2 linked regions of the Drosophila melanogaster genome follow. The protein of the gene in region 1 interacts with the protein of each later gene in a pairwise test. Each region holds a gene or a part of one and is shown on either strand. Other genes may lie near its edges. The genes, in order: Prp18 and CG17266.

Region 1 (4,008 bases):
TGCAGCTGCTGTTAGAAATTCAAAAATCAAATCTACTGCAGTGGAACATTTTAATTGTTGACTGCAATCAAAGATTTTACGAACCGCTTCCGAGGTTACCCCTATAATAAGAGCGAAACTGTTTCGGTTCTAGTGATAAGAAAGTTAGATAAAAACATTTCAGAGCCTAATGTCTTAATTGATCAAGAAAGTTTCTTCCCAGAACATAATTGCGTACTTCCACTTCAATAGTTTGGCCCATTCAATTCGTGTTTGCAAACGAAAGCTGACTAGCTGGCCAAGCACAGCTATTAAGACAGAAACTTTTTATTTGGAAAATCGGACAATTAAGCCCTAATATCTTATATAAAATCGCATTTAATGCGCAAAAAGAGGTGCCTAACGACTTAAAGCTCATACTTAACTGGCCGATGTTACGTGCATTTGTTCGACGGACCAGCAAAATATTTGGGTGGCTCTGGTCCAAAAAACGCCACCAAACTTCCAAGCAGCAAGTAGTGAAAGCGGAAGCACTTATTATTCTCCGTATTTTGCACCACTAAAAAAAAAGTGATGGACAAAACGCTGGAACGACAACAGCAATCAAAGCAATACATATAATTACTTCATTCAGAAACGCAACCGGAATCGGATTCAGGGCCACAAAGTTTTTCAGCCGGTGGCAAATAAAAATTCGGCATTCAATAAGCGGAGAAAAGCTGTCCGTTATCACTTTCGGATCTGAGTTATCCAATCCTATGTTTATTCGCCCGATTTTCTATAATTTTATTGACTCTTGCATAATTAAATATTTCTTTTGTAAGAGCGAAATTATTACAACCAAATTGTGTACAATATAGAAAAATATGTGTTGAATTTGTATCCAGTTCTTATAATAAGTACCTATATAGCAAGATTTTATTCTAATATGAATATGTTAATCTTATTATTGTTTTTTGTCTTTCGTATCCTTTTGCATGGGATGCTTTATGAAGGATAATAGCTAACCACTTTTGCAATTAACACAAATTCAACTCACTGGGCTTAAATAAATAAATAAATTTATTCCGTCCACTTTTTTTTTTATATACTACATTCTGCGTACAGTTCAAAGGTGCTACAGAACGTTTTGATTATTTCTTTGCTGCTAGGCAGCAAACAGTCTTGGTCCTTGGATCACTTAGCGCGCCTGGTTGAATGGGTTGTCTGGTGACTTGTTCCATTCCTTCATCAGAAGCTGCTTCCACTGGGACATGCGAAGGGAAGGATTCTCAGCCTTAATGCGGGGCAGATTGTTGGCTTCAAAGGTCTTGTAGGCGGCGCGCATTCGCTTCTCGGGATGCTTGTCCTCTTCGCTGTCATTTACACTAAAATTGCATGCAATGGAAGATAATTTAAATTGATAAGAAAGTTTCAGTAAGGGAACGCACCTGAGCACCACGATGGCCTCGTCAATGTTGGATGCCACATCCGTGTCGGCCATGGATCGGTTCAGATTCTCCTCGATATGGTTTTGGACCACCACTCGCGCGGCCATCGGCTTGTTGGCCTCGTTTATCGCCTCGATTACGCGCTGCTTCTTCTCCATCTCCTCGAGAATCATCTGGCGGTTGATCTTGGCCAGCGGCTGCTTTCGCTGCGTGTTAATGGATGACATTTCCTGGTCAAGCAGCGCTTTGGCCTCAGCCTTCCGTTTGGCCGCCTCCGCCCGCTTGCGCTCCTCCTCGTCCTTGCGCTGTTGTTTCTTGGCCAGATTCTTGTCGTCATCGCGCCACAGGCGATCCTCCGCCTCCTTGCTCTTCTTCTCCTGCGTGGCCTTCTTGGTGGCCTCCTTGCGCTCGCGGGCCTCCACCGCCTTCGAGTTGATTCCCATTTTCTTTGGCATTGTGTCCTTTATGAATGAATTCCGATCCTAAAATGTTGTCTATTTTTTATTGATTTTGAGCCAGTGTGACCAGGCTGCGGAAATACCAAAGAGTAACCAAAGAAAAAATACTAGAAAAATATATAGCTCAAATACAATTTAAATGTCTAATAAATGCATTTAAATTAAATAAATTAGGAAGTACATATTTATCTAATTATTGATTAAAGTTATAGAACTAATTATAAGTTATTTCATAACTAAAACTTAGTAAATTCAATAGAATACCTATTTTAGTGGCCGCACTTGTATGTAAACATTCTCAGTCTGGTCTCACTATAATCTAAGGCATTTGTTTTGGTTACTCCACATTGTTATTAACTACAAATAACAATCACATGGATATTCTGAAAGCTGAAATAGCGCGAAAGCGCAAGCTGCTGGAGCAAAGGCAGCTGGTGGACGAAAAGAAGAAGTACTTCAGACGCGGTGACCTGAACGCCAAGAACACAGAGGAAGTGCTGCAGAAGGTGGGCTACATAAAGCAGGAGTCCGTCGAGGCACAAGGACAAACGACCGAAGGCGCGTACAGTTTTGTGGCCGATGGCCAGAACATATTGCCGCGCACGGAGGTCATTCGGAGGCTAAGGGAACGCGGCGAACCCATCCTTATATTTGGCGAGACGGAGCCCGAGGCCTTTGACCGATTGCGACAATGCGAGATTTCGCAGCCAGAGGCAAATCGCGGTTTCCGCAACGATTTCCAGGAGGCCATGGAGCAGGTGGACGCCGCCTACCTGCAGGAGATGTTCGCCAACACACCCACCACCAAGGAAGACAAGAAGTCGGACTTCGCTGAGCTCGACGAGTCCGTGTCGTGGGAGAGCATACAGACAATGGCTGCAAATATGGGCCGCAACAAGGACTACGACATGGATGTGATCATCACGCTGCTCACCTTCCTGCTCAAGCTGTGGAACGACCAGATCGCCAACTACAGCAAGCACGAAAAGATGTCCACAAAGGTGAAAATGACCCGCGTCATTTACACGCAGACTAAGGAATACGTTAAGCCGCTGTTTCGCAAGTTAAAGCATCACACCCTGCCAGAGGACATTCTGGACAGTCTGCGAGACATCTGCAAGCACCTGCTCAACCGCAACTATATCACAGCAAGCGATGCCTACCTAGAAATGGCCATCGGAAACGCGCCTTGGCCCATTGGTGTCACTATGGTGGGTATCCACGCTCGTACGGGTCGCGAAAAGATTTTCTCCAAAAACGTAGCCCACGTAATGAACGATGAAACACAACGGAAGTACATCCAGGGTCTCAAACGACTGATGACCAAGTGCCAAGAGTACTTTCCCACCGATCCCTCCAAGTGCGTGGAGTACGTCAGCAAGAAGGATCGGGAATAAACTTGAGCTTTATGTTAGTCATTATTGTAATAACAATATCAAGCGTTTAACTATATGTATGTGTAGAGAGCAAGGGGATGTTCCGGGGGATTACATTTTCACTTCTTTCCCAGTTCAGCAGAGCGCTGTGACGACTTTTCCACGGCGTTTATTAAAGTAGACCTGAAAGCACGAAAGAAAGCAATAAAAAAACAGTGTAATGTACAACTTTATGGCTACCCACCTGAGGTTCCCCTTTTCCAGTTCATGAACGCCTACTATGGTGGCGCCACCGGGAGAACAGACTTCATCCCGCAGCACCGCCGGATGTTTTCCAGTGAGCAGCACCGTTTTGGCCGCTCCCAGAAGCGTCTGAGCCGCAAACTGAAGAGCCATCTGACGCGGAACGCCCTGTTTGACGCCGCCATCGGCCAGTGCCTCTATGATGGTGTAAACAAATGCCGGACCGCATCCAGCTACCCCGGTAACGGCGTCGATCATGGACTCGGGCACCTGTTGCGCCAGTCCCAGGGCGTTGAGCATTAGGTGAATCTTTTCCAAGTCGTGATGCGAAACGCGTGCGTTGCCAGTGTAAACAGTGCAGCCCTCGCCCACCTGCATGGATGTATTGGGCATGGTGCGTATCACCTTCAGCTCCGAACTGCCCATGAAGCTGAAGGCCTCCTCCAGCGTTTCGAGACTGGTACCCGCCAGAACCGACACCACCAGCTTGCTGGCATCCTTGGCCGACGGCACGTGCTTGTA
Region 2 (3,747 bases), on another chromosome or scaffold:
AGATGCTGGTGCGCAAGGATGAACGATTTGAGGTTCGCAACGATGTTCACCTTGGCCTAGTTTGCTTCCGAATGCGGTAAGTCTATTAACCATTAAACCATTTATAAACCATTAACCGTTAGCTAGTATTTACCTAACTGAAGAAAGCAGCTAAATCTGAATGCTGGTCTTTAATGATCTACTCAATCTTCTCTACAGAACTGGCGACGAGCCCAACCACATGCTGCTCGCCCAGATCAACCACTCGGGCAAGATGCATATGACGCCGGCCAAGTTCAACGGCCGCTACGTGATCCGCTTCTGCGTCACCTACGAGCACGCCACTGAGAAGGACATCCTGGAAGCTTGGACCCAGATAAAGTGCTTTGCTGAGGAAATACTGCGGGACCACCAGCTGGAGTCCAGCTCCGTGCCAACCACGCCGGAAGGCTCAGAGCGGACCAGCTCAGAGCCATTGGCTCCAGTGGCGGGCAAGCCACCCATCAAAAAGAGGCTGACCAGGACAAAGTCGCTGCGATTCTCCTTCACTCGCAGCATCTCGCGGGAGCAGTACCAGAGCCAGAGCGAGCACCTAATGGACGGGTGCACACCCATCCTGGTCGTCGATCCCAAAACTCTTCAGGAGAACTTCCAAAAGGCGGCGGATGACAATGACAGGAACAACAGCAATGGCAACGTAAAACTCAAAGATATATCAGACGTGGATACGGACGAGGCGAGTAACTGAGCGTCGACCCGAAAAGGGATTTGCGGATTTACCTCTACCTAGTATTAGTTGTCGAGCTGAAATGAGGCATGAATCAATCGACTACCGACTAACATTGCTCAGTTTGAATTTAAGAACATCCATTTATGTACTAGTAGGACCTTAGTTGTTGCTGAATATCATGTAATTTAAAGATAGACTCATTTGCATCTGCTTATACCGTTTAGCTACCTTAAGTTACTGTCATGAACAAAAGCACTTATTTATAAACATTATCTCGGCATTTTTTATGCAAGTTTTTAAAAAATACAAACACAATCCAACGGAAAATGTATCTCGTGTCTTGTAATGGGAGTTTGAAGGACAATCTTAATGTTTAAAGCAACTTGATATGTACATTATAAATGTATATTATTATAAAATTTACAGAGTCGTCCAAGAGGATACATTTAAACAAACCAGAACGTACAGAAAACTATATCCAATATCCAATAAAGCTGTGCATCTGTTTAGAAAATGATATTCCACCCACAAACGAACACAATGCCAAGGATATGGTTTTCATCAAGGAGACCTCAATGGGATTAAGATCCCCGGGAATGTGTTGTCACTACCAAAACATGAAATCTATTTTTCACTAAGCAGATCTTAACGTCAAATGGGGGTCATTGTCGTGCATATTTTTCGGAAAATTTACATTTTTCTTGAGTACAATGCTCACGAATATTTATTAATTATCATACGTTTTTGTACTATGTCGATAAAAGGTCTTCATTCATCAACAGAGAGGGCTAATTGGGGCCATTCGTTTCCAACAGAACTCCTAAAATGGCTAATTACGGGAATCCTTGGCAAAGAGTCTATCCAAAATCCAACTGGGAGATCTTTGGGGGACGCAAATAGTATTTTTTTTAATTTTTGTATATGATATATGTCTCAATAAGTTTGCTTTAAAACGTTACCACTACATCTTAAAAGTATAAACTAATTATAAGTAAACTAAATATAAATATACATATATCGGTCTCCTTACGCATGCTAAGGCATACAATTGTTGCTTGCTACTGCACTTGCTTTGTCTCTTGCATATCTCCATTTCCCACTTTGGTACAAATGCATGTACATACAGATACAAGTGTTTTGGGTCATTCTGTCATTCTTTGTGATAAAAGCTTTTAGCGTGGGAACGTATGTATGTTGAAGAATTTACACACGCATATCCTATCAGGAAAAAATCCTGCCCATCGGACCACGAAATATGTTAGTATGCATACATATTTTGCAGGCCTTGAGAAACTTGCCAATAAAAATAAACAACTAAAAATAATGCCGAAACAATATCCAACAATAATAATATTTATGCACTATTTTATGCACTCTACTCATCAATCAATCCAATCATAAATAAACTCACCTTAATAAATATTATTAAATAGTTTCACCAATATGTGCACAGCAAAATATAAACAAGCACTTGGCACACGTGTGCTATCGATATAACCGGCTTGTGATGCTATCGACTTGTCGTGCATCGTCATCGAACCATCGTAATAAACATAAACAAAAATCTGCCGGCTTAGTAAAATCTTAATCTTGACTTGTTAGAAAGTTTATAAACAAATAAAATAATTTTAAAATGCCTAACTGGAATCAAATACAGTCCCAACTGAGAAGCTCCAACAATCCCGTCGTTTTCTTCGACATTGCCGTAGGCACAACGGTGAGCTGAAAACAATCTAGTCATAATCTGTACATAACTCCGCCTTCTAACGCCTTTTGTGTGCAGGAAATCGGACGAATGATATTCGAACTCTTTGCGGACACAGTGCCCCGCACGGCGGAAAACTTCCGGCAGTTCTGCACGGGCGAGTACCGACCGGATGGCGTTCCCATTGGCTACAAAGGCGCCAGTTTCCATCGGGTGATCAAGGACTTCATGATCCAGGGCGGCGACTTTGTGCAGGGCGACGGCACCGGCGTGACCAGCATATACGGCAACACCTTCGGCGACGAGAACTTTACCCTGAAGCACGACTCGCCCGGCCTCCTTTCCATGGCAAACAGTGGCAAGGAGACGAACGGCTGCCAATTCTTTATCACCTGCGCCAAGTGCAACTTTTTAGACGGAAAGCACGTGGTGTTCGGTCGGGTTCTGGATGGACTGCTCATCATGCGCAAGATCGAGAACGTGCCCACGGGCCCCAATAACAAGCCGAAGCTCCCAGTGACCATTTCGCAGTGCGGGCAAATGTAGCACGGAGTTCTAAATGTTGTAATAAAGTCTCTATTATGTCTTTTTAAACGAAGCTATTAGTTTTCCTGCCGTTCTGGTTACTGTCAAAGGATGTTTTCGCTTTGACATTCAATAAAATACATTACATGTTTTCGCTCTGTTACAAATTACATGAAATATGTCAGAAAAATTGCCAGATAGCTTTGCGTGCTTTAAGGGCTAAGAATAACTTAGATAATACTAATTGTAGAATGAATAGCCGCCCGCCGCAGCCTTCTCCTTTCGCAGGGTTCGACAGTCCTCTATCATGAAGCTAAAATGCAAACACATGTAGCAATATTAGAATAAAGTAATATTTCTACGCACTCATAGTATAGGGATGCCAGAGGAATTGTTGCCAAGTGCCACAGAGCATGAGCATCCAGAATCCAGAGGATGGGCGGAAAGTCAAGCAGTTCAAGGCTCATAGCCAACGCCATGAGAATATAGAAACGCAGGATCCTTCTAAAGTAGGGCCTGCGGGTGCGCACAAAGTGACACCAAACGAACCATCCCACTGCCGCTATAACTCCCGTAGCCACGTTTACCATCATGTTGAACGCATAGTTGAACCGTCCCACGCTCAGGTAGGCAAAGTAGTTAATGTAGTAGGAGAGGAATGCCAACGTGATAACACCCCGTAGGAACAGCGAGTAGCGGTGCAGCATCCGCATGACCATGACGTAAAGTGAGCACAAGATGATGGAATAGGCAAAGGCGTAGTCCAGCAGCTCGGTCAGTGGAAAGTCCCTTGTGTGAAAGATGGCGG

What was found.
Region 2: the proteins of Prp18 (region 1) and CG17266 interact in a two-hybrid assay, tested with the Drosophila melanogaster proteins (one large-scale study listed by BioGRID).

The regions. Positions count from the first base shown.
Region 1 is NT_033777.3:19,029,427-19,033,434, reverse strand, and holds Prp18 (Prp18), read left to right. Parts: upstream 1-2,163; 5' UTR 2,164-2,241; coding exon 2,242-3,264; 3' UTR 3,265-3,362; coding exon of another isoform or gene 3,363-3,426; 3' UTR 3,427-3,467; downstream 3,468-4,008. Other genes in the region: CG6013 (uncharacterized protein), read right to left, coding at 1,160-1,346, 1,410-1,864; P5cr (pyrroline 5-carboyxlate reductase), read right to left, coding at 3,363-3,426, 3,488-4,008.
Region 2 is NT_033778.4:6,674,286-6,678,032, reverse strand, and holds CG17266 (uncharacterized protein), read left to right. Parts: upstream 1-2,031; 5' UTR 2,032-2,342; coding exon 2,343-2,426; intron 2,427-2,492; coding exon 2,493-2,960; 3' UTR 2,961-3,005; downstream 3,006-3,747. Other genes in the region: Tdc1 (tyrosine decarboxylase 1), read left to right, coding at 1-76, 199-727; PGAP3 (Post-GPI attachment to proteins 3), read right to left, coding at 3,180-3,252, 3,306-3,747.